Ovis aries: one gene and its partners. The protein of the gene in region 3 interacts with the protein of the main gene of each other region in a pairwise test. Links are inferred from orthologs where the notes say so. Each region holds a gene or a part of one and is shown on either strand. Other genes may lie near its edges.

Region 1 (10,099 bases), on a different chromosome or scaffold from region 3:
CTGAAGCTCCCATACTCTGGCCACCTGATTCGAAGAGCCAACTCATAAGAAAAGACCCTGATGCTGGGAAAGACTGAGGTTGGGAGGAGAAGGGGATAACAGAGGATCAGATGGTTGGATGACTGCCGGGAGCCAGCGTGAGGAATCCCGCCCGTGGCAAAGGTCATGAGGAAGGAAGCCTGACAAAACGCAAGGGCGTGATCAGGCTTCAGGGGTTCCCCCTGGAATTTCCTGAGCATCCACCCCAAAAAACCAGAGTCTGCCTGCTTTACTGTGTTATGCTTTCCACCTACTCTACTGACATTAACAGGGGGCTGTCCCCCCACCGCCTTTTTCTGGAAAAATTTAATTTAGAGCTTTTAGATAATAAGTCTCCTGGGCATAATAAGAGTGTTTCAATCCAAAGACCTCTCTGATGGCTGTCTAGCCTGCCTGCTGGACTCTTACAGCTGCACGGACCGCGAGAGACCCAGGAAGCTTAAAACATCCTAGGAATGTAGGGGCTTCTGAGGAGTCAAAATCATTAGAATAGGACTGATTAAAGGTTTCATTTGTTGACCCAATACTTGCTGCCAAATTTCCATATCTTTTATTTGTAGATATAGTTGGTGTATAGGAAAAACAGATAGTGGCCCTGGCATTAGCAACATTAGATCTTTGAGGTAAGTACTTTCTTTGTTATAACCCACTGCACCTTTGTTCTACATGAATGTAACTTTATTTAGTACTTTGAGGGTGATGCAGAGTAAAGAAAAAACACTTCTAAGGAAAGAGAGATTTCTGGTTGAAAGACATTTATCTAGGAAGAGAGCCATAAAAATGTTAACAGGCCTCTTGGCCAGAAGATAATGTAAACCACCTGAGATCTTTTGAATACAGGAAGGTATGCAAAAAGAAAGCCTGGTCTCAGTGAGGGTCAGGACTGCTGCCCCTGCATAATTCTGCATATTCCATTATTTGTTTATGTACAACTTGGGGTATATAAGCTGATTTTAAAAATAAAGTCTTGAGTCTTGCACCGATGCTGGGCTCCCCCATGTCATTCTTTTCTCCCCCTTTCCGCCTGAATTCCCATCTGGAGTGCGGAGGCTCACCAAGTCTACTTACTTGCCCTGGCTTCTAAGATCCATGTGAGAGGGAGCCCAAGGTGGGGCACCCTCCGCTATTCAAGTGGACGCCGGTGGCCTAACGTAGATGGTGCAAACCTCTTGTCTCGAGGTTTTATTAGTTTTCCGCGTAAACCAAGTTATTCAGCCTCTTTTTCTCCACTAATATTTCCTACTACACTATCAATTTCTAATCTTTATATATATCTGTAGTTAAATAAGTTTTTTCCTAGGACACCGACTCCGTCCCCACTTCGAATTCCCTGGATCCACTGGGGCTGGACCCCGGCAGATGACATCACCAACTCGATGGACATGTGTTGGAGCAAACTCTAGGAGACAGTGAAGGACAGGGAAGGACGTGGGTGCTGGCGTCCACGGCGTCCGTGGGGTCTCAAAGAGTCGGGCGTGGCTTAGCAACTGAACAATAACAACGCTTGTGAAAACAGGGCACAGAGAAATTAAGCAACTTACCCAAAGTTGCACAACCAGTAAGTGCGAAGCTGGTATTTGTACTAGAGTCTGGCTTCAAGGTCTGTGTTCTAATTGTTATTGCCTCTTCATGCCAGAAACTTACTGCTACTACTTCGTAGTTTTTAAAACAACAAACTCCATTTTAAAACTTTAATACCTGTCTTAGCTTCTTTCTAAGCGATAATATCCATAAAATTCTGGATATTATCTTATGCACACACACACAGAGGACATAAATACTCAACTCTTAAAATAAAATTTGAGAGGGAACTAAGACCCCACATGCTGCAGGGCAACTAAGCCCTTACACGCAACTAGAAAGTCCACACACGCAGATGAAGAGGCAGTGGAGCCAAACAAACAAATAAAACAAACAAAAGCCTATGGGAATCTCTTGTCAACACAGAAGGGCTGGCATACAGTGGGCCTACAGTGAATGTGGCTGTCATGCTTCTTGTCTGAGCATGTAGGCTAAGGCCCCCCTCCTCCAGGGAGTCCTCCCTGATCACACCCCACCCTCAGCTGCCCTTTGGGGACCTTCTGTTCTATGTCCTCTTAGGGGATGTTAGGGTTGTCACTGAATTGGTATCTTCCTCTCCCCTCAGGCTGGGGGCCACTTCAGGGCATAAATTAGGTTTTACCACCTCCGTGTCCCCAGTTCCCCTTCCAGGACAGGACATCTGACAAGGATGGCGTGTGCTTAGTGTGAGGAGGCAATGAAATTGCTAAAGTCATTCTCAAGAATCATGACCAAGCAATTCACTTTGACCCCCAAGGGCCTGGGAGTTAATCATCAAATCCGGGGACGTCACACTCAGGCCAAGAAGGGCCCAGACCATCTGGGCTGCTACGTGCTTCCTGGACCTCACATCCAGTCTGACATATAGGGGAACTAAACCTTCCCGCCGCCCGCCTACGCCATGGACGTGACCAGCTCAGAATCACCCAGTGAGATGCTGATAGAGACAAGACAGGAATCTGATCCTGTCATTCCCCTGTCTAAGGCAGGGCCCCGGGTGAGGTCCACACCCTGCACTGGTAGGGGCATCCTGTGGGCTCTGGTCTGTGCCCGCCTCTCCAGCCGCAGACACACTTCCTCTCCTGCCTTTTCCGTACCAGCCCTACTGCGCACATCTGTTCCTGGAACATCCCATTTTGTCAGTTCCTGACCTTTGCTTTCTGTGTTGCTGACTCCTGGTTTCCCTCAGTCTCCTCCTCCACGAGGCCTTCCCAGCCTCCAGGGGCCAGGCGAGGTACCTGCTCTGGGCACCCACAGCCCTGGCCCTCCCCACTTCCTGCCAACATCTGACAGCTGATCACAGCTGCTCTTCAGTGGCCCTTGGGGCTTACTTATTTTGTTTGGTTGCATCGGGTCTTAGCTGCCTTATGCGAATCTTTGGTTTTCGCCCAAGGCCTCTCTAATTGTGGCACACTGGCTCCAGAGTGTGCAGACTTAGTAGCTGCAATGAGGCAACTACTTACTTCCCTGATCAGGATCGAACCCACGTCCCCTGCATGGCAAGGCAGATTCTTTACCACTGGGCCACCAGGGAAGTCCCCCTTTGGGGCTTCTTGAGGGCAGGGGACATGCTGTCTTGTTTGAGGCTAATGGTCCCAGGGCTTGATCTAGGGTCGGTGCCCGATAAATATTCTTGGAATGAATGAATCGATTGTCAGAGTTATTCATTTGAACAATAAATAATTGTTTGAGTCCCAGTGTTGGGCATAAAATATCAGAGATGAGGAGGAACTTCAGAAGGAAATATGCCTTTCTCATGAGACAGATAATAATTGTTTCTTTATCCTTGTTTTCTCTTCTCAGACCTAAGCTGACCTTGACAGTGGTCCAGGGGAAGTGGCTTGGCATTTGGGACAAGCACTGGATTTGGAGGTGTCTATGTCACAGTAGAGGTGATCCAGAGGGAGGGGTAAAGGGTGACCCTTGCTGGCTGGGTGGCCTTGGCCAAGTGAATTCCCATTTCTGGGCCTCAGTTTTTTTTAATCTGTAAAATGGGGCCAGGTCATCACATGTCTGGGACAGCAAACCGAGAAGCAGTGAAGGCTGATCTTGTCCCCTTTTTCCTCCAGTGGAGAGCTATCCCTTTAACCACGAGGGGAGGGGCCAAGGCCACAGGAGGCTGCAGGGAGTTGGCACAGCTGGTGCTCAGGAAGGCCGGTGGGCAGCGGACTGGCCCTGAGCTGGTCTGAGAACTGTTGGGAAGGAAGGTAAGTGGGTCTGGGCCCAAGTAGGGCCCTGGGACTCGGTGTGCATTTGTGAATGTGAGTAGAGGTTTGTTTGGAAGGTTCTGGAGCCAAGTCCCAGCTGGCTGGACAGAAAGTGGGAGAGTGAGGCTGTCCGAAGTCCTCCCATAGGCTCAGCTCTGGGTGCCTGTGGCCTGTCTGCCTTGCAGCAGAAGGCTGGGGGCCCAGGACCTGGAAGATTGGGGAGCCCACCCTGGCTCCAGGGTGGTAGGGCTGGGCATTCTGGCAACTAAGAGGTGCTGAGGTTCCCAACCCTGGCGTCAACAATTTGGCTGCAGAGTGTCACCCGGGTGGCCTCTGGAGAAAAGCTGAAGGACGAAGAAAGTGGAAAAGGCAGTTAGCTGGTCTTTATCCAAATCCATAGATGTAGCAGGTGCCCTCATGGGCGTCTGGGCTTGATAAGGCTGTTGGCAACTTGGGACTCATTCATTTAACTGATGCCTGCTGTTCTTTTCTGGGCAGTCTAACCAAGAGGGCTGAGGAGCCTGAGGACTGAGCCAGCAGCATTTGCTTTTAAAGACAACCGGTGGTCAAGTGCTAAATGCTCACATCTTTCATCATAATGATAATGCTACTATAAAAGAGAAAGTACAGCATGGTGGGGAAGGGCACAGATGCCAACTTGTACTGCCTGACTTGGAGTCCTGGCCATGCCATTTCTAGCTGTGCGACCTTCGGCTGGTTATTAATACTTAACCTCTCTGAGCCTCAGTTTCATTGTCTATAAAGTGGAGTTAATAATTGAACCTATCTCAGGGTTGTTGTAATTATTATAAGGTGCTTGACATGGTGCCTGGCTCACAGTAATTCCCACATAACTATTAGCTGTTATTGTGCGTGAGGCAGAGTTGATGTCTTTACTATTTAACGTAAGACCTCGCTTAATCCTCACAGTGGTCCTGTGATGCCCAAGTTCTTCTCCCAGTTTGTTGTGTGGTTAGTTCATTCTCATTTTTTTAGGTCTCAGGTTTAAAAAATTTTTTTAAAATTAATTTATTTATTTGGATGCACCGGGTCTTAGTTGCAACATGTGGGATCTTCATTATCCCCTTATAAGACTATAAAGTTCCCTCCAAGAGTAGATGTCTGTCTTATTCACCATGATACCCCCCGGTTCCTAGGTCCGGGCTTTGTAAACATTCTAGAGTAAGGATGAGCATATTGGCATCGTTAGAAGACCCCAGGGAAATGACACCTCCAAAAGACTCAGCCAATTTCTGGCACATAATAGGAACTCAACAAAGAATATCTGTTATTATTATTGCACTGGGCTGCTCGGTCATATCTGACTCTTTGTGACCCCATGGACTGTAGCCTGCCAGGCCCCTCTGTTCATGGGATTCTTCAGGCAAGAATACTGGAGTGGTTAAATCTGCACTCTAACCTGTGAGTTGGGATGTTATTATTCCCATTTTAGAAGGGAAAACAGGCACAGAGAGGTTGAGACACTTGCCTGTGTCACACAGCCAGGAAGTCATAGCTAGTTTCTAACTTTTCCCTCTGATTCACCCCAAAACTCAAATTCTTGGGCTCTGGAGCCAAGGTGAAGCCAGGGCTGGGCCTGCTGGATTTGGGTGGCCCAGCGGCTGCTCTCCCCTAATGCCATGAATTTTCCCGGATGGAGCTGGGTGGAAGTGTTTCAGGCTTTTCTCTGCCTGGGGAATCTCAGGGCCATCCCAGCAAGGACTCCGAGTCAAATTCAGGGATCAGAGACCTGGAACCCTCTGATGTGGGGAGCCCAGTCCTGACTTAGTAAGTGTGGACTAGAAGCTTTGAGCTGGTGGTAGCTGATGGAGGTTGATGCGCTCCCCCTAGTGGCAAGTAGTGGAACTGCAAGGGCGGCCCAACTCGTTTCCCTCTCAAAGGAAAAACAGCGTTTACTCCTTAAAAAAACAAAACAAAATAAACAAACAAAAAACCCCTTATACTCTCCCTCCCTTCTAATTTCCTCCCTCTCTGCTTCTTGCCCTTTCACACTGGTTCATTCACTCACTCACTCACTCGCAGCTTAGCTTCAAATCTCCCAGCGGCTTCCCATAGCAAGCAGAAATAGAATAATATCCCAACTCCTCACTGTGGGCTGGAACGCCCTTCCCAACATCCCTGCTCACCTCTCCTTGTTTAGTCCCTCGGTCTTGCCCAACTCTCTGTGACCCCTTGGACAGTAGCACACCAGGCTTCCCTGTCCTTCATTATCTCCTAGAGTTTGCTCAAACTCACATCCATTGAGTTGGTGATGCCATCCAACCATCTCATCCTCTGTCTCCCCCTTCTTCTTCTGACTTCAATCTTTCCCAGCATCAGGGTCTTCTCTAATGTGTCGGCTCTTCGCATCAGGTGGCTAAAGTATTGGAGCTTCAGCTTCAGTCCTTCAGTTGAATATTCAGGGCTGATTTCCTTTAGGATCAACTGGCTTGATCTCCTTGCAGTCCAAAGGATTCCTCAAGACTCTTTTCCAGCACCACAATTTGAAAGCATCAATGCTTTGGTGCTCAGCCTTCTTTAGAGTCCAGTTCTCACAAGACTAAGCACCTTTTTTGCTTGACTAATACTCTCACCTCTACCCAGTCCCTTGTCTCATCAGCGCCTGGAACACTCCAAGTTCATCTCCCTCAAGCGGTGGCTCCATCTGCTGTTCCCTCTGCAGGAATGCTTTTCCCTTGCTTCTCTTCTTGTTCATCTCAGTTTCCCCTTTGTTGTTGTTTACTTGCTAAGTCATGTCTGACTCCACGATCCCATGGTCTGTAGCCCGCCAGGCTCCTCTGTCCATGGCATTTCCCAGGCAAGAATACTGGAGTGGGTTGCCATTTCCTTCTCCAGGGGATATTCCTGACCCAGGGATTGAACCCACGTCTCCTGCATTAGCAGGCGGATTCTTTACCACTGAGCCACCAGGGAAGCCCTCCCCTTTTGAGAAGCTGCAGATCAAAAGAAAATTAAATTATCTCTCGACCAACCAAAATGCACAGCTCCCTTCTGCAACCCGATTCAAACTGTTAAAACCTTAACTATCACCATCTGCAAAACCAACTGTTAATCACATTTAGTGAGACGATTGGAATTTTGAACACTTAGCAAATATTTGATGTTGTTAAGAAATGATTGTTAATATTTTTAGATGTGATAATGGTATTGTGATTACATTTTTAAAAATGAACATCACTGAGGTCTAATTTCCATGAAATAAAATTAGCTTACTCAAGGTTAGAATTTGAAGAGTTTGGACAAATGTATACTGCTCTGAAACTGTGGCTACAATGTTTAAAAAGAGTTCTTTAATTTTATAGCTACATGCTGAAATATTTCCAGATCAAATAATATGGGAGGAAAATATAATGATAAAGGTGGAAAAAATAATAATATGGGGAGGAGGAGGGGTACAGATATGGAACAAACAAGCCAGGCATGAGCTGATGACTGTTGAAGCTGAGTGGCGGCTGCATCAGATGGTTCTTGACACTTTTGCTGTGTTTAAATTTTCCATAGTACAAGGTTTTAATTTTTTTCCCCTGAGGTATACGGGCTTTTTGTTTGCCAACCAGTGGTAGAATCTCTGTCCCCTACATTGGAAGTGCAGAGTCCCACCAGTGAAGTCCCCTTAATGCAAAAAAATCTTTTTTAAGTTTCTTTCCTGGGAGAGAGTCTTTCCTGACTACCCTCGATAAAATAGTGCCTTCCCCACTAGGTCATTCCAGGTTGCAATTCTTTGATTCTCTCTCCCCAACTAAAACGTGGGGCTGCCTCTGACCTGTCCACTCCTGGGTCCCTAACCCTGAAAATGCCTGGCAGACGGTAGGTGCTCGGGAATGTCTTTTTTTTTTTTTTTTTTGAATCAATGAATGATGACTGCATAAAATCTCATGCATTCATCACCGCTATTGGCCATGTTCTCCATTCTTGCGCTGTAGCATCCACATTAACCGAAGAAAAGTGCCCTTAGTACAAATCTCCTTGACTGGATGGTCAAACTGAGGCCCAGAGAGGTGCCGACACTTGCCTGGAGCCTCACAGCTTGGCAGCCACCGGGGATGAAGGGAGCCAAGCCAGGGGGCTTCTCCCTCCCCCTCCCCGGTCCTAGTTAGAGGGACTCTGGGCGGGAGCCGCCTGGGCTGTGACGCTCCTGCCCTACTGCAGGCCCTCCAGGTTGTTGCCGAGATGAAGAGCCCCCTGGAGGAATGTGCCGAGGGTGAGCCCTTCCACGTCGTCACGCCTCTGCTGGAGAGCTGGGCGCTGTCCCAGGTGGCCGGCATGCCTGTCTTCCTCAAGTATGAGAATGTGCAGCCGACGGGCTCCTTCAAGATCCGCGGTATCGGGCATTTCTGCCAAGAGGTGAGGGCAGGAGGGGAGGAGTGAGGTGGTAGACCCGGGGAGTGCTGTGGGCGGGACGAGGGGTGGGGAGAGTTGGAGTACGATGTGGTGGTATGCTGCGCTGTGCTTCGTCGCTCCGACTCTTGGCAACCCCACGGACGGTAGCCCGCCAGGCTCCTCTGTCCATGGAATTCTCCAGGCAAGAATGCTGGAGTGGGCTACGATGAGGAGAGTCTAACTACATCCCCCCCCAGGGCTCCAGGACACCTGCTCAGGTCATCCTCCGCCCAAGTTCCTTGTCTTCCTAGGTGGCCAAAAAGGGATGCAGACACCTGGTGTGTTCCTCAGGTAAGCCTGCCCCCTTTCTACTTCGTGAGGGTCCTCGGGGGCTGGGTGTGATGGTGGAGGAGGAGGAGTTGGAGCTGCAGGAGGTGTCTAGGGCTTGGCCTCTTGTTAAAGGTCCAGTCTTATCAAGGTCATGGCAGATGGCTGCTCTGTGTGTCCTGCTCCCTTCCCATCGTTCAAGCCCCCTGGTAGAAAGTGATGGAAACCCAATTCATACAGGTTTAAATTACAGACTCCAAGAATCAAAGAATTCTTGGGATAATGGGTTTAGGCACAGCTGGACCCAGGTGGTTTCCTCTGTGTCTCTCCTTCTCTTGGTTTGCCTTCCCTCTACACTAACTCTTCTCTCGTATGGACTGCCTGATGGCCATCGGGAGTTTTAGGCTTGCCTCCTACCATCCTGCCAACCGTAGGGAAAGGGGAGGACCCCTTCCCCGTGGTCTCCTCGATCTATGAATTGGTCTTTTTGGCCCAGCTTGTATCATGCGCTCGTCCCTGAATGAATCATGGTTCAGGTAATTGAGTTCTCTGATTGGCTCCACCTAGATCGCATGTCCACCTCTGGGGCCAATGGGTGGGCACATAAGCATAGGAAGGAGTGACTCCCAAAGGAAAATTGGAGGGCAGGCGGGCAGGAGAATAGTGTGTCAATAGACTAGCAACTGCCCACAGCACCCTCTTCTACTGCCTCCGCAGGGGGTAACGCGGGCATTGCAGCTGCTTATGCCGCCCGGAAGCTGGGCATCCCAGCCACCATTGTGCTCCCCGAGGGCACCTCTGTGAAGGTGGTGAAGAGGCTGCAGTGGGAGGGGGCCAAAGTTCAGCTGACTGGAAAGGTAAGGACCCCAAGAAGGGCAAAGCAGCTGGAGGGGCTGTTCCTCCTTAATCCCTTCCTCGCCCCTGAGAGACTCTTTTTCCTTTTGGTGAACTATGCCTGGAACCCAGTCATCCCTTAGGATGGCTGAGCTCAGGGGCGAGTGAGACGTGATGTATATTAAGGACTGAGGTCTGTCGACTTTTCTCTCTCCATTTGGAGAAGATTACCTGTGTGAACCCAGGAGAAACAGGAAGCTGGTGATTATCAGGATAGTATCTGTCTCCCTGTGTGTGTGTGTGTGTGTGTGTGTGTGTGTGTGTGTGTGTGTGTGTGTGTGTGCTCAGTCCCGTCCAACTCTTTGCAACCCCATGGACCATAGCCCACCAGGCTCCTCTGTCCATGGAATTTTCCGGGCAAGAATACTGGAGTGGGTTGCCATTGCCTACTCCATCTCTCTCCCTTCCTCCTCACTAACCCTTGGTATTATTCACTATACATTTTTACCATTCAATTAGACAAGAAATGTAAAGATCACGATAGCATCACCCACCACTCTGAGTCCACCTGATATGAAAGGATATCATCTGATGAGGACATCACTGGCTCACTTTGTTACCAAAGAAACAGACTTAACATATAACCCTTCTCCTTTCCTGGGAAGAAGGAAAAAAAAAGTCTATCCATCCATCCAGCTGGCTGTCATCCCTAGAAAACAGGTTTTATCTTTAATTAAGTAATAATTGACAATTAATTATTGGGCTTCCCTTGTGGCTCAGATGGTAAAGAA
Region 2 (9,938 bases), on a different chromosome or scaffold from region 3:
CTGAGCACTTGAGTTCTTTTTTCTCCTCCTGAAGTTTCCAAATACCTCCCACCCCCACCCTGCTCAGAGTGTAGTCTGACTTACACTTGTAAAACAGGGCTATGTCCATACTCATCAGTAGGAAAGTCTTGGTACAGCTAAGAATCTCACATCGTGGCCTGCATTTTTTCCTCTTGGGACCCTCCCTCCCCATCCCATCCCCTGTTCCTTCATCTGAAAATGAGGCCCACAGGGACTGCGACCTTGCCAATGCTCAGAGACCAATACCAGAGCTGAAAACCCATGGGTTCCCCTTGCTGTCACAGCGCAGCTGGAAGAGCTCTGGACTCTCTTTCCTTTCCTTTGTGGTCCAGGAGAAAACGCTCTTCCAGCCTGAGACCTCAGCCGAGTTCTACCGTGACTGGCGGCGACACTTGCGCAGCGGGCCAGAGCGCTACGAGGCACTGCTGCAGCTCGGGGGCCCGAAGCTGAGCCGCCTCTTCCAGATGGACGTGGGGTTTGGACTTCTAGGAGAGATGCTGGTGGCACTGGCCGATCATGTGAGGCCTGCTGACCGCTGGGCAGTGCTGGGGATCCTGCACAGCCTGGCCAGCACTGGGCGCTTCACCCTGAACCTGAGCCTGATGAGCCATGCAGAGAGAGAGAGCTGCAGAGCCTTGTTTCAGAAGTTGCAGGCCATGGGCACCCCCAGTCCGGAGGGGCAGGGTCTGGGGGAGCAGCTGGGTGGGCTTCAGGAGGAGGAAGGTCTGCTGCAAGAGCTGCTGATGCTATACCACCTGGGCTGATGGGACCATTTACCTTCAGAGGCCCCCAGTGGTCATCAGAGGCATTTTTTGATTTTTGGGGGGACTCTGCAGGACTCTAATCAGAAACCCACACCTGATTCCCATTTGGATTTAGAATTTTCACAACCAAAGCAGGAACTGAATTTTCACTTTTCCCCCAGCCCCTTGGGGGCTTCATATTCTGAACTTTGTAGATCTACAGGATGGTCAAGGGCCAAGCTGAAAGACTTTTGCTTCCCACCCTTAGAGTCTGCCAGTCTGCTAGCCCATGGCCCTGAGATATGGGTGAGCACCCAACGAAACACTGGTACCACCCATTGCAGCCTCCGCTCAAAACAAGGAAAAAACAAAATTGTTAATCCTCCATGGTTAACAAATACTGATCTCCATAGGTCTTTTTTTAAAGTTGATTTTTATTGGAGTATAGTTGCCTTAAATGTTGTTAGTTTCTTCAGTATAGTAAAGTGAATCATTTATACGTATATCTATCTATTTATCTATCTATCTATATATCTTCTTTTTTGATGTCCTTCCCATTTAGGTGACCACAGAGCATTGAGTAGAGTTCCCTGTGGTACACAGTAGGTTTGCATTAGTTATCTATTTTATACATAGAAGTGTACATACGGTCAATCCCAATCTCCTAGTTCATCCTCCATAGCCCTTAAACAAGAGTATTCGTCACCAGAAACCAACGAATGGACATTTAGTCAATAAATGATCAAATGCTACCTCATTTGAAGTGGACTATTTTTCTCCAGGGGCTGAGTTCCCATGAAGGTTGGGCCTGAGAAAGCCCCAAGCCTTCAGCTCAGGCCTGGCCAGCCTCCCAGGTATATTCAGATGGCCAGATGTGCAGGTGGGAGGGTTTCCTTCAACCCTCAGATTATCCAAAGGAAAGATGTTTGCAACCAGGCCCGCAGGCAGGGCAGAGCCTGAAGCAGAAGGGCAGAGATTTTCCCGAACTTGTACCTGGGCCCTTGTTTCTCCTCCTGGCTTCCCCTGACCCACTGTTCTAGAATGCTAGAGTTCTAGAAAGGGGAGAGGGAGCCAGATTCTAGAATGGTTTTCTCCTCAAGAGCACATCTGGAACATGAGAAGGGCATCTTGTATGTTAACTAGGAATCAATTGCCTTGCCTATGGCAGCTTCCTCTGCAGACTGTTGCTTCTTTTCCTGGCTGCTTAAACCTTTCCTCATGTAGATGCCTCCTCCTAGCAGTGATTTCTAGAAGCCCCATAGGCCTTTAGTGCCTCGGGTTTGCCCTGCCCCCTCTGACCCTTCCCTTGCGCAGGCATGAACCTGGCCCACACCACTGTGCTCCTGTGGGCGTGGGGGAGCCTCCAGGCCTTTGAAATAGTGGAGAAAGAGAACATCTTTCAGAGGACCCCCTGCCCAGCTTTCCTGATGTTTGACAACGCGGCCTACCTGGCCGACATGAGCTTCGAGCTCCCCTGCCCCTGCAAGCCGGAGGAGGTGTCCGCTGTCGTCTGGTACTATCAGAAGCACCTGGGCAGCAGCCACACCAAAGTGCTGACGGACTTCGATGGGCGGGTGCTGACGGAGGCAGCCCAGGTGCGCGTGGGCAGCGACATGCTGGTCCGCTTCAGCATCCGCATGTTCAGCCTCTTGGTCTTCCGGGCGCAGCCGGAGGATTCCGGCTTGTATTTCTGCGGCACCCGCAAGGGGGACTACTTTTACGCCTACGACGTGGACATCCAGAGCAGTGAGGGGATGGTGGCTACCTTCAAGGACCAGGGCCAGGAGCCCTTGGAAGACGAGTACCACGGGAGCCTCCGCGTCTTCACCACCTTCTGGGAGTGGACCCCCTGCGACCGCTGCGGGGTGCGCGGGGAGCAGTGGCGTATCGGTCTGTGCTACCTGCAGAGCCCGGACCTCTCTCCCCGCTACCGCAAGATACTGCCCAACGTGGTGTCTTGTGGTTCGAGGGCTGTGCCCAGGCAGCTCCGGGCCAAGGCCAGCAACCACAACCCCGAGCTGCTGGTTCGGAGCTGCCTGATGCCCTGCGAGAAGAAGAAGAAGGTCCAGGAGGGCGTGATGGCCATCTTCAACTATGTGTCCAAAGTGGGCAGTCGGCCCTGGTTGCCCCAGGTGCCCATTCAGTTCCACCAGCAGAGACTGGGCCATGGACTCATCATCTCCTGCCCCGGAGCCCGGCCAGAGCACGCCGTGGCCTGGGACAAGGACCACCAGTACCTCTACCGCACGCAGTACCTGAAGGGCGTCAATGGATCCATGAGGGTGTTCATCGACCACGGCAACCATCTCCACATCCGCTTCACCCAGCTGGAAGACCGGGGCATCTACTATTGCTGGAGGCAGGGCGATCGCATTGCTGGGTTCCGACTGGGTGTGACATCTCCAGGTCGCTATCCGGTCTCCTTCTCCGACCCCGAGACTCGAGCCGCCCTGGGGCTCATTCTGATAGGCTACATGCTTATCACGGTCATCTTCATCAGCATTCACCTTTGTCGTTGCTGCTGTTACTTATTCCGTTTTTGTCCCAACTTCTCCCCTAGGCTCTCTCTCCCCTAGCTCTGAAGACCAGCTGTGCTCAAATGTGTTTGTTAAATGGTACCAGATGCCTCCGGTTGGGGGTGGGGCATGCGAACCTGCCCCCCATTTTCGTGAGCAAGTCTAGAACCTCATCTGGGAAGCAGGGAAGCCTGAGCAGGTGGGAGATGGGGAACTGAGTCCAGGATGGAAGTAGTCGGAGTACACGTCTTCTGACTTAATGCTCAGAGAAGGAAGAAGTGAACCTAATATTTATCATCTATCTGGTGTTGACTGTGTTTGATGTGCTTTATTTTCTTGCCTTCATGGATTGCCAAGTGGGTGCTGTTTGAACTGAAGGTAGCAGAGAGAGGAAGAAAAGAGTTGGGGTACCTAGTATATATATCCTCTTTGCCTTCTTTCCCAGCCTCATCCCGGAACCAGCAGGTAGAAATGGTGAGTTTGAGAATAAAGGTAGAGACCAGGACAGGAGAAATGGGTGAGGAAAGTGGAGACTGAATTCAGGGCTTTCCTGAGAGATGGCACCCAGCCTGGGGCCGGAGGTGAGGAGCCAGAAGCAAAGGCAGTGGGTGTGTGGGGCACCAGGGCTGGAGAGCAGAGCAGGGTTGGAGGCAGGATTTGTCATGTGGCCACTTCTGGGGATGCTGGGGGCCCCAAGACGATCAGTGATAAGAAGCAAGTTGTGTCTTGCCTGAGGCTACTTACTGTCCTCTGCCCCAGCCTCAGCCTCCGCTGAACAGATCAGAGTCCACTCTGGGGAAGGCCACAGCAGTCGTCTTTATTTGTTGCATTTATGTCAGTGACTAAAGCTCGTGGCAATGCCCTGAAGGTTAGCAGCAGTGGGTGGCACGAGGGAGTAGGGGAAGGGTATGCAGTCAAGTCCCTCTGACTTGGAGGGAGATGGGGACCCTGGGGTGGGCTTCGGAGCCCCACTTGTGGGCACTGATCATCTCATGCCCATCAGTCTCCCTGTGAACAGCAGAACAGGTGCTCAGGGTGAAAGTGTCTGCCCCAAGCTTTCCTGCCTCCAGGCTGCAGGAACACAAACCAGTGTCTTCACTCTGCATGGGCCTCGGGTTCCAAATCATAAAATAAACTGCTACCTAAAACATGGAGGGGGGGGTATGTTTTGTATTTGACTAAGAGGGGGCTATAGGGGCCTTGGTTTAGGGAAGAGCAGTGATCACTGTGGGGAGAGGACGTTGGGTCACAACAGAGGCTTCGCCTAGCAGTGTTTCCTGGGGTCAGGTGGCAGTTGCAGGGGCTCACAGGCCTGGGTGGACAAGGTTTACACAGCAAGGAAAGGTCCTTGAGAGCTGGGACAAAGCAGGCCCCACTCCCATGAACAGCAGCCTCTTCCTTTCCTGTGTCAGCATCTTCAAGAGGATGACTCACTTTCTTGATTTCCACAACCCAAAGGCCAAGTGTAACTGCTTACCCACGACCCCCACTCTGATGTCTAGCATCATCCCAAGCACTGCCCCCACCATCTCTACCTGCCCACTCCAGCCTGTATCAGAGTCCTCCTGGGCTTGACCTCTCTGTACCCACAGCAATGGGCAACGCCCCCTTCTACTCCCTCCCAGCACCCCTTTCCTCTGCACTTACACTATACTTCCCCCAAGCATGGAGAATCAAGCTCCCACGGGCCCACGGCATGCCCACGTGGCAGCTCAGTGGGGCTGAGACACTCGACACATTGCTCAGGAGGCCCCTCTGCAATCTGAGCAGGCCAGGAATTCTGTCTGCTGACTCTCCCAGTTGGCAGGATAGCCCCACCCACCCTCAGACTGGTCAGAGTCAGTCTAGAAGAATAAGCCTCTGGCCAAGGCCACCTTGCCTTGGGGACTTCCTCTGCTTGTCTCAGACTCTCAGTTTTCCTCCAGCAGCCCAAAGGCCCCATTCCCAGATACCCCCAGATACCTCCAGCTCTGGCAACAGTTGCCATGACAACAGAGGTTCGCGATACAGAGGGCAGGGTGATTTATGAGGTCTCCCCGCTTTCTCTCCTCCCTCCCAATTCTAACCCAAGCTGCTGGCCGTGCCCCTCCAGGCTGCCCTTTGGGGTGAGTGCCCTGTTAGTGTTGCTGGGTGTGGGGTGGGTGCTGTCTGACAGGCTTAATGCTGATGGAGCCTAGGGTGGCAAGCTGGCATAGAGATGGAGCAGGAAGAGGAGCAACTGGATTGGGTGGGAACTCAATTCTGGGGAAATTAACTAGCAGAGAAGAGACAGCTACCCCGACTCCTGCTGCAGACGCCTCAAACGGTGGGGCAGTGACCGCCAGATGGGTCCTGCTCACATCACATCCTTGTGCTCCTGCTTGGACTCCTTAATGACCTGAAGGGGACAGAGAAGGTGCCATAGTTAGGAGCTCACACAGACTCCAGGTCCACCATGGCTAGGCAATGTGACCTGGGACAAGTTCCCAGCCTTTCAACTTTTCTATGATAGTAACCAGAATGCCGCCACGCAGCAGAGGGGGAAACGAGCTAATCCTGTCAAACATCTGGCAAACATCTGCCTGGCACATGCTGAGCTGCTGTTGTAAGATTAGCTAATTCTGCTGGTACGGTGGGGAGGGGATATGCCCAATCTCCTCTTCCCATTCTTCTGCCAGGTCCCTTTCACCAAGCTGAAAGTTGAACGTTGGGAGTGAAAGTTACTAAATTTAATTTTCATTCTGTCTCCCCCAGGCCTGCTGTGGGGGCACCTGAGTCTGAGGGTGAGAAAGGGAGAAAGAAAGCCAGAGTCAGGACCCTGACCTGTGGCCTAAGCATCTAGGCTCCCCTTAGTGTAGGGACTGGGGAATGGAATTATATCTGGGCTCCTTCCCCTCTTCCAGAGCCTCCCAGAGGAACTCTTGGGAGTTATGGAGAACCTTCTATATGCCAGTCCAGGCTTTCTCCCAGAGCCTGCTGGGGCCAGAATCTTGGGCCTGCCCTCCTCACCTCTCCATCCCGCATCTCCACGGTCTTCACCACAATGTTCCTCTTGAGGTGGCCTTCTGACACGGACTTGGTGTCCAGGCTGGTTTCTGCAGACATGAGGAGAGGAGGCCTCCATAGGCTCTCAGGGCCCTAGACATCCTCTCCCACCCTTGGTTTCCCCCTGAGACCCCTAATCGTGAGTACAAAAGCCTATCCAACCAGAGAAGTCCTAGGCTCTCCCAGAGGGGCTGGCAACCTCCTAAGTCCCCACAGTGCCAAGCAAGCCCTCACTTCCCTGCTTGCTGTCCTGGCCTGGCTGCATTTCAGCCCCTCTGCAGTTCCTCACTTGGCCCCTGGCTCCCTGACAACCCAGTATCACACCAAGGAAAGAGCATGTGGTTACTGAAGTCAGGCAGGCCAGAGCTCGAGTCCCAGCTCAGCCACATGACTGTGGGTAAGTTAATTTACCTCTTCCAACCTCAGTGTCCTCATCTGCAAAATGGGGATACTGCTGCCTACTTCTCTAGGTCGAAGTAGTGAGTTAACTGAAACAATGTGTGTAAAACAATGGGCACGTATTCATGTTCCGTACACATGGGTCCCTCTCCCGTCCCTCTTCCCTTTTCCTGCCTCTCTCTGCCACTTCTCTAGGACCCTTTTCTGTCTGGCATGTGGCAGTATTGCCTCTACCTGGTCTGCTGGTTAACTCTTCTGATACTGAACTAAGCCCTCGGACATGCATAGCTAGTGTTCCTAAATTTCTAGTCCAGAAGAATTATTTTTTCCCTCAGCTGAGAATTATTTGAGGGCCACATACAAGTAAGAAGCAATTTATTCCCCCCTGCAGAGAGAAAAATGTAACATGTCACACTCACTAATGTTTAATATTAAGAGCAGGGGACATAAAACTTTATTCACTCCAAGAGCAGCAGTCTAGAGGGAAATAATCCTCTGGGCTGAATCAGCCCTGAGCTGAACAACCGAGCCTCGGGGACAGAGGAATCAGGCCAAGAGCCTGGCTGCCAGGCACCGTGAGACTCTAGGGGCCCTCCTGGTGATGGGGAAGAGGTGAGGCAGAAGCTGGTGTTTGCTCAGAGGCCCAGAGCATCTGAGCTGAGTACCCGAGGACTTAGCACCTTGAACACTGGCCAACTCTACTACTTTAATGTACATTTACCCTGTGCCAGGTCCTGGACTGGGCGCTGAGATTGCTGGGGAAATGACACAGGGTTGGCCCTTTAGGGAAACCTGGGAGGAGGGAGCTCAAGAAGATGGGGAAAGTGGGCTTGGTGAGCTTGCTCCCTATTAAGGTGAAAAAAGCACCATGTCTAAAAGGCAGGCAGCTAACCGAGAGCCGGCGGGGCTCCATCTACAACCTGGTGAGCCTGAATTGGTATAACTTGTATTGTGAGGCTTTTGAGATGTCTTGTGACCTTGTGACTTTCCCCTTCTTTGGTGCTTTTGCCCCCTGTAGTGACAAGCAGTTAAAAAAAAACACACAAACATCAAACACTCAGCTGGACAGGGATCTGCAGACAGGTGAGAGGTTAAGACCCTCACTCAGTTCTGCAGTGGAATGGGGAGTAGGCATGGGAGGAGGGACAAAGGGCAGAGCAGGACAGGAGTGGCTGCAAGCCCCACCTGGAATGCTCTGGAATGGTGTGTTCTGGCTGGAAGTTCTGCCATGAATATTGAAGGTCCCCACAGAGAGCACTGGGCCCCTCTGCCCTGGTCCTCGGGCTCAGACCAGAAGAGCAACCCACAGGCCTGGGGAAGGGGGCGGGAATCCAACACTCTGCCCACAAAACCCTGTTCTACTGACCTCGGATCTGCAGGTTGGAGAAGGTCTGAACAGGAATGGTGATGCTGAAAGACAGCAGAAGGAGAGGGGTGACCAGCCTGCCAGAGGACACTCCCAGGCCAGATCCTGGTCCAAGGTCACCATAATAGCTTCGAGGCCCTCTTCCTTGCCAGGAAAGGCGGACCTCCATCTCTTAGCTTCTCCAGCAGCCAACACACTCCCCGCGCTGTAAGAGCTCTGGGGGAACACCTCCACTCAAAAGAGAGTGAGTGCTCTGAGGATGACAGAGGGGAGGGGAGAGCAGTGAAGAGAGTTCCCAGGAGGCAGAGGAGATTGGTCAGCAGAAAAGAAGTCCAGTCTTTGTTGGGAGGGTGGGGAGTGAGCCTTTTAGTTTGGAAGATAACCCAAGTCCTTACCCTAGGATCTGATCAACATGGGCTGAATTGAATCCATCCATTCATTCATCAGGCATTTATGAATACCAACTGTGTGTTAGGTGAGCACTGTGCTGGGCGCTGGGATAGGAGGGGGCTGGTCACGAGGCTGAATAAGACAGTCCCTGATGGGGCTTCCCAGATGGCGCAGTGGTAAAGAACACACCTGCCAAAGCAGGAGACACAAAGAGACGTGGGTTCTATCCCTGGGTCGGGAAGACCCGCTGGAGAAGGAAATGGCAACTCACTCCAGTATTCTTGCCTGGGAAATCCCATGGATATAGGAGCCTGACGGGCTACCATCTATGGGAGTCGCAAAGAGTTGGACATGTCCGAGCACACATGTATTCGTGAAGGGAGCAAGGCGACTCTGGGGCGGGGCAGTAGGGCAGGCGGCCGGTCTGGGCTCACCGGTTCTCCTCGCCCTCCAGCAGCTTCCTGTAGGTGGCGATCTCGATGTCCAGGGCCAGTTTGACGTTGAGCAGATCCTGGTATTCCTGCAGGTGGCGCGCCATCTCGTCCTTGAGGCTCTGCCCCTCTTCCTCCAGCCGGGCCAGCGCCTCCTGGTAACTCGCCGCCTCCCGCGCGTGGCGCTCCTCTTGCTCGCGCATCTGCCGCTCCAGGGACTCGTTCTGTGGGTGGAGCCGGACCGTTCCCCGAGGCCCCGCCCCAAGAAACTTTTCAGAGCTCCGCCCCGAGCCAGTCCTTCAGCGTCTGCTAGGGCTGTAGGTCCCAGGTTCCCGGCTCGCTCACCCGTACCCCTCCTCCGCCTGCGGCCCCGCCCCTGCTCACCGTGCCGCGCAAGGACTCCAGGTCGCAGGTCAAGGCCTGCAGCTGCCGTCGGTAGTCGTTGGCCTCATGCTTGGCCTGGCGGAGCAGCTCCGCGTTGCGGGCGGCGGCGTCGTTCAGGTCCGCGAACTAGATGAGGAGAGGGCTTTATGCTGGAAGGCGGTCTGGGGCCGCATATCGCGGGAGCTTAGTGGGCTCGGGGGGTTGGTACGCGGTCTGGAGGATCAGGGAGATGGGCCGGACGGTACGGCTGTTTTCCAGCCCACCCCACGCCACTGGCACTGGGTGGGATTATTCACAGTCACCCGTGGCCCATGGACACAGACACAGACGACATTGCTACTTCTCTAGCATCTAGCTCAGTGCCTGATGAGGGAACGCGTGAATGAGCAGAGGGTGTCACAGAGCCCAGACTCTCCAGTAGCTCCATCCTCGGGACTGAATCCTGTCCTCCTAGGTCACACACAGGGAGCTCTGGTGAGCAGAGACCAGGTTCTAATAACCCTCTCTCCTTCAGCCTGCTCTGAATCCCTCATGGTTCCATCACGCCTTAACCTGCTCAGAACCATCCCTGACTTCTGCCACTTACACTCCTCAGCTCCATGCCCTGGGCCAGGATCTCCGGGCCCCCACTTTTCTGTGCTTTATGGCCTCTACTCAGGCTGTG
Region 3 (10,099 bases):
CAGAGCAGGGTGACAGAGGAAAGCATCCTCTTGTGTGTTCAGAGCAGATAATTCTGCTCCAAGTTACTGCTTAGCTCTCCAGACTACTTGTATGCAGGTCCTGGCACTGCTGAAAACAGTCACTTCCTGCCTCCTAGAGAGCTGACTCTTCAAAGACAGGGGCGGGGAGGGGGGCTGTTAATCCGAGTAGAGCTCACAGTAGGCCCTCTGTATCCACGTTCCTCCACATCTGTAGACTTAACCAACTACAGTACTGTAGTAATTACTATGAAAAGATAGCTGTGTATAAGTGGACCTGTGCAGTTCAAACTTATGTTGTTCAAGGGTCAGCTGTGGTTCTCTACTTGGGACTAGAGAATTAAACTCAAGAGTGATTGCAAGGAAGAGACTGTCTTCAGCTGTTTCATTTCTCTCACACTCAGTCAGTAACTTCTAGAGGCTTTTCCCTCAGTATATCCTTTATTCCTACTGCCACCATCTAAGTCTGGACCTCTTATTTTCCTTCACCTGGGTTATGCAGCAGTCACTGCTCTACCTAACTCCGGGCTCTTGCTTCATCAGCTCACGTGCTGTTTGTACTGCCAAACCTTAACCTGAGTGCCTGACAGGCACAGCACGTTCAGACCAGACTCCTCTCTCCAGAACGCAGCACACATTCACCACTCTGCCTTGCCTTGCCTTTAACTCCCTCCTTTCCATGCAAATTTAACCCATTAGTGCCCCCCTGAAGCCTTCCATACAGCCCTCCCTCATCTCCTACTCTACCAACCCCTATTGTACTCACACAACTAACAAGTCATGGTTTGGCACTGTCTGAATACAGTTCAATTCACATATTTACGTTAACTCTAATATTCTCAATCATATTGTAGACTCTTTGAGAGGCACCGTTCCTCGTTCCAAGGACCCTGCATGGTGTTGAGCATGTTGGTAGGTGTTCAAAAACAGATCAGTTTTGCAAGTGGGGTTGAGGGACTGCATCTGGATGATTAGACAGAGACCACTACCAGCCTGGCTGAGAAGGCTGGTGTCTGGGATGATAATATCAGAATTCAAAACCACCTCAACAACTTGAAGTGTTCAAGGAAAACAACATACAACATGGAGCTCAGCAGAGCACAAAGAAGAAGAACAAGTCCCACAAAACCAAGTTTAAGAACCAGGCACAAGACAATCAGGAAGAGACCTGGGAGTATCAAGTGAATGATAATCATTAGTTGAGTTATACTGAAAGAAAGTATAATGAAATTCTGAAGTAAAATTCTTAGTCTGCCTCTACCTGCCACACCCTCACTGGAATAATATATATAATTTAATTCTCCACAATTAACATGATGTTTGAAGAATTTTCCAAAGGAGAGTAACAAAAACTTAGTAGGTCTGAAGAATGGAGCTTCTGGGGAAAAGCTTAAAGAAACAAATCTAGTTTAATATGGAGAAAGAAAATGACTAAAGGGAAGATAAGCCAAGTACAGAAAAGAATTTTTATCTAGAAAATTCAGACTTAGTGTCATTACCAGGAGAAAAGAAATTCCAAGTCCTGGTAAAAACTATAGAGAGCCATTCTCTGGCAGACTTATCAAAAGAGGAAGTATAAGAATACTTATTGCAACAGAGAGCTAAGCTACTTGCCTTCAGGAGGTCCCCAACAGCTGCATGCTCCATTTCCACTCATTCCTGAAATCCCTTTCCCACTCACTGCTCCCAACCCTACTTCCCAACTTAGAACGGCATCCTATCTTCCCAGATGAATCTACTCCTCACCGCTCCTTTGAAAAGGTCTGAGCTTCTCCTTTGGGTTCATCTGCTCCTGTGGTCCCAGGTCTGGGCTTCTTGCCCTCTCTTTCTTGGGTACACCCCTGGGCTGGGGTTCCACTGACTCCTGCCGAACACTTAATAACTCTCGTGATGATTTCAGGGGTGCCATCTTCTCCAAGCGCACTTCCTGCCCCTTCACAGAGACTGTGACCTGGAAACAACCCCCATGAATTGTCACTGCAAGGTCATAATGAGGGGTATTCCCAGAGGAGTCTAGTTAATATCCCAAAAGAGATCATCCTTTTGGGACATGGCTAGGGTTGGGGTGGTGGTGGGGGGTTGGTTAATAGAACAAGGGTCTTTCTTACTCCATTACTGTTAGCTTAGAGCAGCTGGAACTCCAGAACAAAATAGTAAACCCAATTCCACACTAAAAAAGAATTCCCCTCTCATTATGTCAAAAAGTTACATTCAGGTGGCATCTCCCAATAAGCTGTCTGAAAAAGTTACCTTTTGTAGGAGCTTCGCTAATAGAGACTGTGCCTTAATTTGGCCTTTTATCTTGCCCCTTCCCAGTCACATACTTCTGAATTCCCCCTCCCTGCTCACCGAATGTCCAGGTCTTCCAGGCTCTCTTTCTAAGTCTTCCACCAGAGTCACTGCCTCCTCTCCACTTTCTGGACATTGCTTTTGTACCCAGTTCTGGATCTCCCCAGGTAGGACGGTCAGGAACTGCTCTAGCACCAACAATTCTACAATCTGCTCCTTGGTGCGCACCTCTGGCCTTAGCCAACGACAGCAGAGTTCCCAGAGTTGGCTGAAAGCCTCCCGGGGCCCAGCCACCTCCTGATAATGAAACTTCCTGAAGCGCTGTCGGAAGGCCTCAGAGTTAGAGCCATTCCCTCTCAGGGTGGGTTTGGCCATGGTTCACAGCAGGAAGCAGCTTCCCTTCACTTAAAGGTCTAGGTTCCAGGGCTTAGGCCCATCTTCCCATGTCCTTGGGGAATCACCTGCAGATGAGTCTGTCTCTGTAAGCAGTTTCCTCCTAGGGCAGAGAGAGATGGCACTATCAGAAGGAATGTATGTCTAGGGTCTTGCCAGAGCTGGCCTGACTGCCCATATGCTCCAAGTGGTCATCTGAGGTAGCACCAGCTTCAGGTCAGGAAGTCAAAACAGCCTGAAGGTGAGAGGCCATTCAAAGGCTGCATCTCTGGCCGACATCCAGGGCAGCCCGGAGAAGCAGCAAAGGATAAAAGTACTGTCTACTCTTCCGCCGCCCCCAAATCTGACCCATTGAGCTCCCCTAACCAGTGAGTTCGAACCATTTGGGAGACCTGGAGCTCGGAAGGTTCTAAAGGCAGGTCACCATTCTGCTGAAGGTAACAAAGCCTCTGTCCAGCGGGTAGCAAGCTGCTCTCCACTGTCCTTCCCCAGGCCCTCACAGCCCGCCCCGCTCCCTGAGACTCCACCACTACCAATTCCCACCCCAAACAAAAATCAAGTACTAAATACTGGGTCTCTGTTTTCCCTCACAGCAGAAGTAAGCGCTCAGTAAACATCCGGGAACTACTGACGGGAAACCTCGCGCATTGAGAGAAGTTGATTTTGGCTCCTGAAGCGAGGTCCGAGTGGGTTTGGGGAGAGTCACACTGAGTTGGTGGAGAGAGGAATTCCGAAGGGGCAGTAGTCATGGGTCTCCTGAGGACGAGTTCGGGTGGTGGGCAGGCGCTCCGAGGGCTGCGAGGTTCGCGAGCGCGGAGCTCAGGTCTAGGAGCGGCGGGTGCGGGGTTCCGGCCTCTTTGTTTTCGTTCCCTCCGGCCAGGTCACTCGGAGCCGTCATGAATCCCTCCGGAGGCCTCCGACCGGACTAAGGCGCCCTGAGAGCACCCTGTGGCCCACACCTGAGAGCTTCTCCCACTCAGGCTATCGCTCAACCCGCTCGCATCTCTGCCCACCGGCCAGCCTCACCCAGTCAGGGTCTGGCTCCAGCCCGGGCTCGCCAGCCTCCCAGTCCAGCTTCCAAACCGGAAGTCCGAGTGGGTGCCTCGGGAGCCAAAGGCGCATGCGCAAGGGCAGCTCCCGCGACTCTTGCGGGGCACCGGCTGCCGCCGGCGAGGGGGCCCAGCCGAGCGCGGCGCACTTCCGGGACGCGGCGCGCCGGCTGCTTTCCGTCCGGTCTCCCCTGCAGTTGTCTCGGCGGGTAAAGTCAGGAGGAACAGTGCGTCCCGGAGACCTGTGCGCGCATAGAGAAGGGAGCGCTCGCCTCCTTGGTCGCCAGCTGAGGCCCTGGAGGAGGGCGCGACGGATATAGGGACTCGAGGTCCGCCGTGGGAATGATCCACGAACTGCTCTTGGCTCTGAGCGGGTACCCAGGGTCCATTTTCACCTGGAACAAGCGGAGTGGCCTCCAGGTACTATCCGGCTCGGAGCGCGGGAACTGGCGAGCTCGGAATGGGTGGACCCGAGCCAGCGCTTGGGAGGAGGAGTCTGAGGGAGCAAGAAGGCGGGGCTGGCAAGGACCAAGGCGTGGGGGGCGTATCCCTGGACGGGTAACCTGAGGGCTGTGCCCTAGGGGCTTACGGATGGTTTAGACACCTGGAGAGGGTTGGGCCTAGGCGGAAAGCGAAGGGTGGATCCCTATTGGTTCTGCCTTAGGGGAGGAGGGAATCCCGGACCAGGCCTAAGGTTGAAAGTGTCTGGGCGAGAGTTGCTAGAGAACTAGATGTAAAACTGAGAGAGGCCCTTTCTCCCATCTTCATGCTTGCACAACGTTTTAAACTGAGTTTTGAAAGCTAGACCAAATACACAGTGCCTAATATACAAACAGTTCAGTTCAGTCGCTCAGTCATGTCCGACTCTTTGCGACCCCATGAATCGCAGCACGCCAGGCCTCCCTGTTCATCACCATCTCCCGGAATTCACTCAGACTCACGTCCATCGAGTCCGTGATACCATCCAGCCATCACATCCTCGGTCGTCCCCTTCTCCTCCTGCCCCCAATCCCTCCCAGCATCAGAGTCTTTTCCAATGAGTCAACTCTTCGCATGAGGTGGCCAAAGTACTGGAGTTTCAGCTTTAGCATCATTCCTTCCAAAGAAATCCCAGGGTTGATCTCCTTCAGAATGGACTGGTTGGATCTCCTTGCAGTCCAAGGGACTCTCAAGAGTCTTCTCCAACACCACAGTTCAAAAGCATCAATTCTTCGGCGCTCAGCCTTCTTCACAGTCCAACTCTCACATCCATACATGACCACAGGAAAAACCATAGCCTTGACTAGACGGACCTTAGTCAGCAAAGTAATGTCTCTGCTTTTGAATATACTATCTAGGTTGCTCATAACTTTTCTTCCAAGGAGTAAGTATCTTTTAATTTCATGGCTGCAGTCACCATCCGCAGTGATTTTGGAGCCCCAAAAAAATAAAGTCTGACACTGTTTCCACTGTTTCCCCATCTATTTCCCATGAAGTGATGGGACCAGATGCCATGATCTTCGTTTTCTGAATGTTGAGCTTTAAGCCAACTTTTTCACTCTCCTCTTTCACTTTCATCAAGAGGCTTTTTAGCTCCTCTTCACTTTCTGCCGTAAGAGTGGTGTCATCTGCATATCGGAAGTTATTGATATTTCTCCTGGCAATCTTGATTCCAGCTTGTGTTTCTTCCAGCCCAGCGTTTCTCATGATGTACTCTGCATATAACTTAAATAAGCAGGGTGACAATATACAGCCTTGACATATTACTTTTCCTATTTGGAACCAGTCTGTTGTTCCATGTCCAGTTCTAACTGTTGCTTCCTGACCTGCATACGGATTTCTCAGGAGGCAGGTCAGGTGGTCTGGTATTCCCATCTCTTTCAGAATTTTCCACAGTTTATTGTGATCCACACAATCAAAGGCTTTGGCATAGTCAATAAAGCAGAAATAGATGTTTTTTTCTGGAACTCTCTTGCTTTTTCCATGATCCAGCGGATGTTGGCAATTTGATCTCTGGTTCCTCTGCCTTTTCTAAAACCAGCTTGAACATCAGGGAGTTCGCGGTGCACGTATTGCTGAAGCCTGGCTTGGAGAATTTTGAGCATTACTTTACTAGCATGTGAGATGAGTGCAATTGTGCGGTAGTTTGAGCATTCTTTGCATTACCTTTCTTTGGAATAGGAATGAAAACTGACCTTTTCCAGTCCTATGGCCACTGCTGAGTTTTCCAAATTTGCTGGCATATTGAGTGCAGCACTTTCACAGCATCATCTTTCAGGATTTGAAACAGCTCAACTGGAATGCCATCACCTCCACTAGCTTTGTTTGCAGTGATGCTTTCTAAGGCCCACTTGACTTCACATTCCAAGATGTCTGGCTCTAGATTAGTGATCACATCATCATGATTATCTGGGTCGTGAAGATCTTTTTGTATAGTTCTTCCGTGTATTCTTGCCACCTCTTCTTAATATCTTCTGCTTCTGTTAGGTCCATATCATTTCTGTCCTTTATCGAGCCCATCTTTGCATGAAATGTTCCCTTGGTATCTCTAATTTTCTTGAAGAGATTTCTAGTCTTTCCCATTCTATTGTTTTCCTCTATTTCTTTGCATTGATCGCTGCAGAAGGCTTTCTTGCCTCTCCTTGCTATTCTTTGGAACTCTGCATTCAGATGCTTATATCTTTCCTTTTCTCCTTTGCTTTTCGCCTCTCTTCTTTTCACAGCTATTTGTAAGGCCTCCCTAGACAGTCATTTTGCTTTTTTGCATTTCTTTTCCATGGGGATGGTCTTGATCCCTGTCTCCTGTACAATGTCACGAACCTCATTCCATAGTTCATCAGGCACTCTATCAGATCTAGGCCCTTAAATCTATTTCTCACTTCCACTGTATAACCTTAAGGGATTTGATTTAGGTCATACCTGAATGGTCTAGCGGTTTTCCCTACTTTCAGTTTAAGTCTGAATTTGGCAATAAGGAGTTCATGATCTGAGCCACATTCAGCTCTTGGTCTTGTTTTTGTTGACTGTACAGGGCTTCTCCATCTTTGGCTGCATAGAATATAATCAGTCTGATTTCGGTGTTAACCATCTGGTGATGTCCATAAGTAGAGTCTTCTCTTGTGTTGTTGGAAGAGGGTGTTTGCTATGACCAGTGCATTTTCTTGGCAAAACTCTATTAGTCTTTGCCCTGCTTCATTCCGCATTCCAAGGCCAAATTTGCCTGTTACTCCAGGTGTTTCTTGACTTCCTACTTTTGCATTCCAGTCCCCTATAATGAAAAGGACATCTTTTTTGGGTGTTAGTTCTAAAAGGTCTTACAGGTCTTCATAAAACCGTTCAACTTCAGCTTCTTCAGCGTTACTGGTTGGTATAGACTTGGATAACTGTGATATTGAGTGGTTTGCCTTGGAGACGAACAGAGATCATTCTGTCGTTTTGAGATTGCATCCAAGTACTGCATTTCGGACTCTTTTGTTGACCATGATGGCTACTCCATTTCTTCTGAGGGATTCCTGCCTGCAGTAGTAGATGTAATGGTCATCTGAGTTAAATTCACCCATTCCAGTCCATTTTAGTTCGCTGATTCCTAGAATGTTGACGTTCACTCTTGCCATCTCTTGGCCAATTTGCCTTGATTCATGGACCTGACGCTCCAGGTTCCTATGCAATATTGCTCTTTATAGCATCGGATCTTGCTTCTATCACCAGTCACATCCACAACTGGGTATTGTTTTTGCTTTGGCTCCATCCCTTCGTTCTTTCTGGAGTTATTTCTCCACTGATCTCCAGTAGCATATTGGGCACCTAATGACCTGGGGAGTTCCTCTTTCAGTATCCTATCATTTTGCCTTTTCATACTGTTCATGGGGTTCTCAAGGCAGGAATACTGAAGTGGCTTGCCATTCCCTTCTCCAGTGGAACACGCTCTGTCAGACCTCTCCACCATGACCTGCCCGTCTTGGGTTGCCCCGCAGGCATGGCAATACACAATATGGAGAAGGAAATGGCAACCCACTCCAGTATTCTTGCCTGGAGAATCCCGTGGATGGAGACTGGTAGGCTGCAGTCCATGGGGTCGTAGAGTCTGGCACGACTGAGACTTCATTTTCACTTTACAATAAGGATTCAGCCAGTTTTGTTGAATGAAAAAGTGGGTGTTTTCCTTATTATTCCTTGCCGGAAAATTTTCTGCACTCAGAGAAGTTGGAGCAGGGAGGCCTTTCGTGTATCCAGGGATGTTCAAGGGGACTATGTATATACTCTATATATGGTTTACCTGTATGCTTTGATCTTCACAACCACCTATCTCCATATCAGAGATTAATTCCCAGCGTCAGGGATTAATAGAGAATAATAAGTTTAGGGTCTTGAACCCAGGTCTGTCTGACTTCAGTGTTTGAACCACTCTTTTCTACTTCTGCTTCCAGTAATATTATCTAATCATTTCCATAACTTAGTAACTTATGTATTGTTGGCCCCAGTTTACAAAAGAGCAAACTGGAGCTCAGAGGACTTTATGGTGGCTAGTCTTAAAAAGGCAAGATTTGAATCTAGCTCTGTCTGATCACAAAGTCATGCCTGTTTGTATGAGAATCGGTAGTATGAGCTGTGGAGGAGCAGAAGAATTACATTCTTGGTTTTTACAACTTATAAATCAAACAGATTCCTCTTATTATTTCTTTGCACCTGTAAAATTAGCACAGTGCCAGGCATGTAGGAGGAAAAGGCTCAGGAAGCGATTGCGTGCGCTCGACTATGAGGCAGAAAGAGACAACAGGAGATGGGAGCAGTAGCTGTGTTTCTGTTTTTCTTATAAAAAGCCTCATTTGGATATTTTCCTCTTTAAGTTCTCAGTTTTAAAGTTACCGTCTAAGAAAAACTTTAACCACCTCTTTAAGTATACTTCTAATGCCTTTATTTTCCATCACAGCAACTTATTTCCCTTAGAGGACATCATAATTCATATGATTGATTGTTGTTACCTACACGTATAGTCTTTCTCTCACATAGGTTGCCGATGGGGGCAAAGGCCCCAGTGGTCTTCACAGATGTTGCAGAAGCACCTATCAGTTTCTGCCACATACTGGTATTAAGATATTTGTGAGGGACTTCCCTGATGGTCCATGCAGGGAGCCTGGGTTCAATCCATGGTCAGGGAACTGTATCCCACATGCCACAACTAAGAGTTTGCATGTCGAAGCTAAGATCCAGCACAGCCAAATACATTTTTTTTTAATTAAAAAGACACTTACGAAAGAAAAAATTGTACCCAAACCAGCAAATATTGCATACTTTCTTCAAACAGTGTTTTTCACATTTGGATTAAGGGTAAAATTGTCATGAATGTTCTGTGTTGATAAAAATAATTTTATTGTAATATAGAATATGTACACACATGAAGCTAAGTATAAACTCAAGCATATTGTTCTTGAACAACTGTAAACCCAATTATTTTTACAAAGTAAATAATGCTACCAAATTGATAAATTCACATTGACAATCTGACGCAGCCTCTCAGTGTTGGCACTGTTGACATTTTGGACTGGATAATTCTTTGTTGTGGGGACTGTCCTGTGCGTTATAGAGTGTTCAGCAGCATCTGTGATCTGTACTCACTAGATGCCGATAAGGACCCCTGGCAACCAAAAATACCTCCAGACATTACCCTATCCCTTGGGGGCAAAATTGCCCCAATTGAGAACCATTGAGCTAATGCAGCATATACTTTTTTGTTTTGCTAAACCTAAATTGTCAACACTTGAGTTTAATAGTAGAATGATTTTGCTGCAGATCTGGCTATTTCCTATTTTGACTTCAGTAACTCTGTTCATATAAGTAGGTTATACTAAACAGTACCAATAACTTTAAGGTATCATTTGCTGTTTCAGAATAACCAGACCTTGAACTTTTCTAAAATTCCTGCAACACTGCGCAAATGCCAATTTTAATAGTAATATCACTTAATAACTGAATAGAGCTGTCCTAATAATAAAAAATATTACTCATTTGAAGACCCTGATGCTAGGAAAGATTGAGGGCAGGAGGAGAAGGGGACGACAGAGGATGAGATAGATGGATGGCATCACCAACTCAATGGACATGGGTTTGAGTGGACTCCAGGAGTTGGTGATGGACAGGGAGGCCTGGTGCGCTGCGGTTCATGGGGTCGCAAAGAGTTGGACACGACTGAGCGACTGAACTGAATAATAAATTGTTGACATGTATTGAGCACTTGGCTATGTGCTTGGCACATGTGATTTACATATTTAATTCTCAAAATTATTATCTCTACTTTATAGGTAGAGAGATGAGGCACAGAGGGGTATTGCTTGCCTAAGATTTCAAGGAAGTAAGAGGTGACTCAGGGATTC

The links.
Region 1: the proteins of TUBGCP4 (region 3) and SDSL interact in a two-hybrid assay, tested with the Homo sapiens proteins (2 studies listed by BioGRID and IntAct). The two-hybrid records come from large-scale screens. The link is inferred for Ovis aries from reciprocal best matches to the Homo sapiens genes TUBGCP4 and SDSL.
Region 2: the proteins of TUBGCP4 (region 3) and GFAP interact in a two-hybrid assay, tested with the Homo sapiens proteins (2 studies listed by BioGRID and IntAct). The two-hybrid records come from large-scale screens. The link is inferred for Ovis aries from reciprocal best matches to the Homo sapiens genes TUBGCP4 and GFAP.

What each region holds. Positions count from the first base shown.
Region 1 is NC_056070.1:61,082,007-61,092,105, reverse strand, and holds the start of SDSL (serine dehydratase-like), read left to right. Parts: upstream 1-3,739; 5' UTR 3,740-3,806; intron 3,807-7,976; 5' UTR 7,977-7,997; coding exon 7,998-8,171; intron 8,172-8,458; coding exon 8,459-8,498; intron 8,499-9,191; coding exon 9,192-9,331; intron 9,332-10,099. UniProt on the Homo sapiens protein: Catalyzes the pyridoxal-phosphate-dependent dehydrative deamination of L-threonine and L-serine to ammonia and alpha-ketobutyrate and pyruvate, respectively. Also exhibits racemase activity towards L-glutamate and D-glutamate.
Region 2 is NC_056064.1:44,347,797-44,357,734, forward strand, and holds the end of GFAP (glial fibrillary acidic protein), read right to left. Parts: intron 9,401-9,938; coding exon 9,275-9,400; intron 9,115-9,274; coding exon 8,894-9,114; intron 8,114-8,893; coding exon 8,070-8,113; intron 7,716-8,069; coding exon 7,596-7,715; intron 6,355-7,595; coding exon 6,269-6,354; intron 5,658-6,268; coding exon 5,616-5,657; 3' UTR 4,074-5,615; downstream 1-4,073. Other genes in the region: CCDC103 (coiled-coil domain-containing protein 103), read left to right, coding at 354-785; Ig-like V-type domain-containing protein FAM187A, read left to right, coding at 2,081-3,340.
Region 3 is NC_056071.1:52,946,709-52,956,807, forward strand, and holds the start of TUBGCP4 (gamma-tubulin complex component 4), read left to right. Parts: upstream 1-3,826; 5' UTR 3,827-4,091; coding exon 4,092-4,169; intron 4,170-10,099. Other genes in the region: ZSCAN29 (zinc finger and SCAN domain-containing protein 29), read right to left, coding at 1,765-1,969, 2,368-2,682. UniProt on the Homo sapiens protein: Component of the gamma-tubulin ring complex (gTuRC) which mediates microtubule nucleation.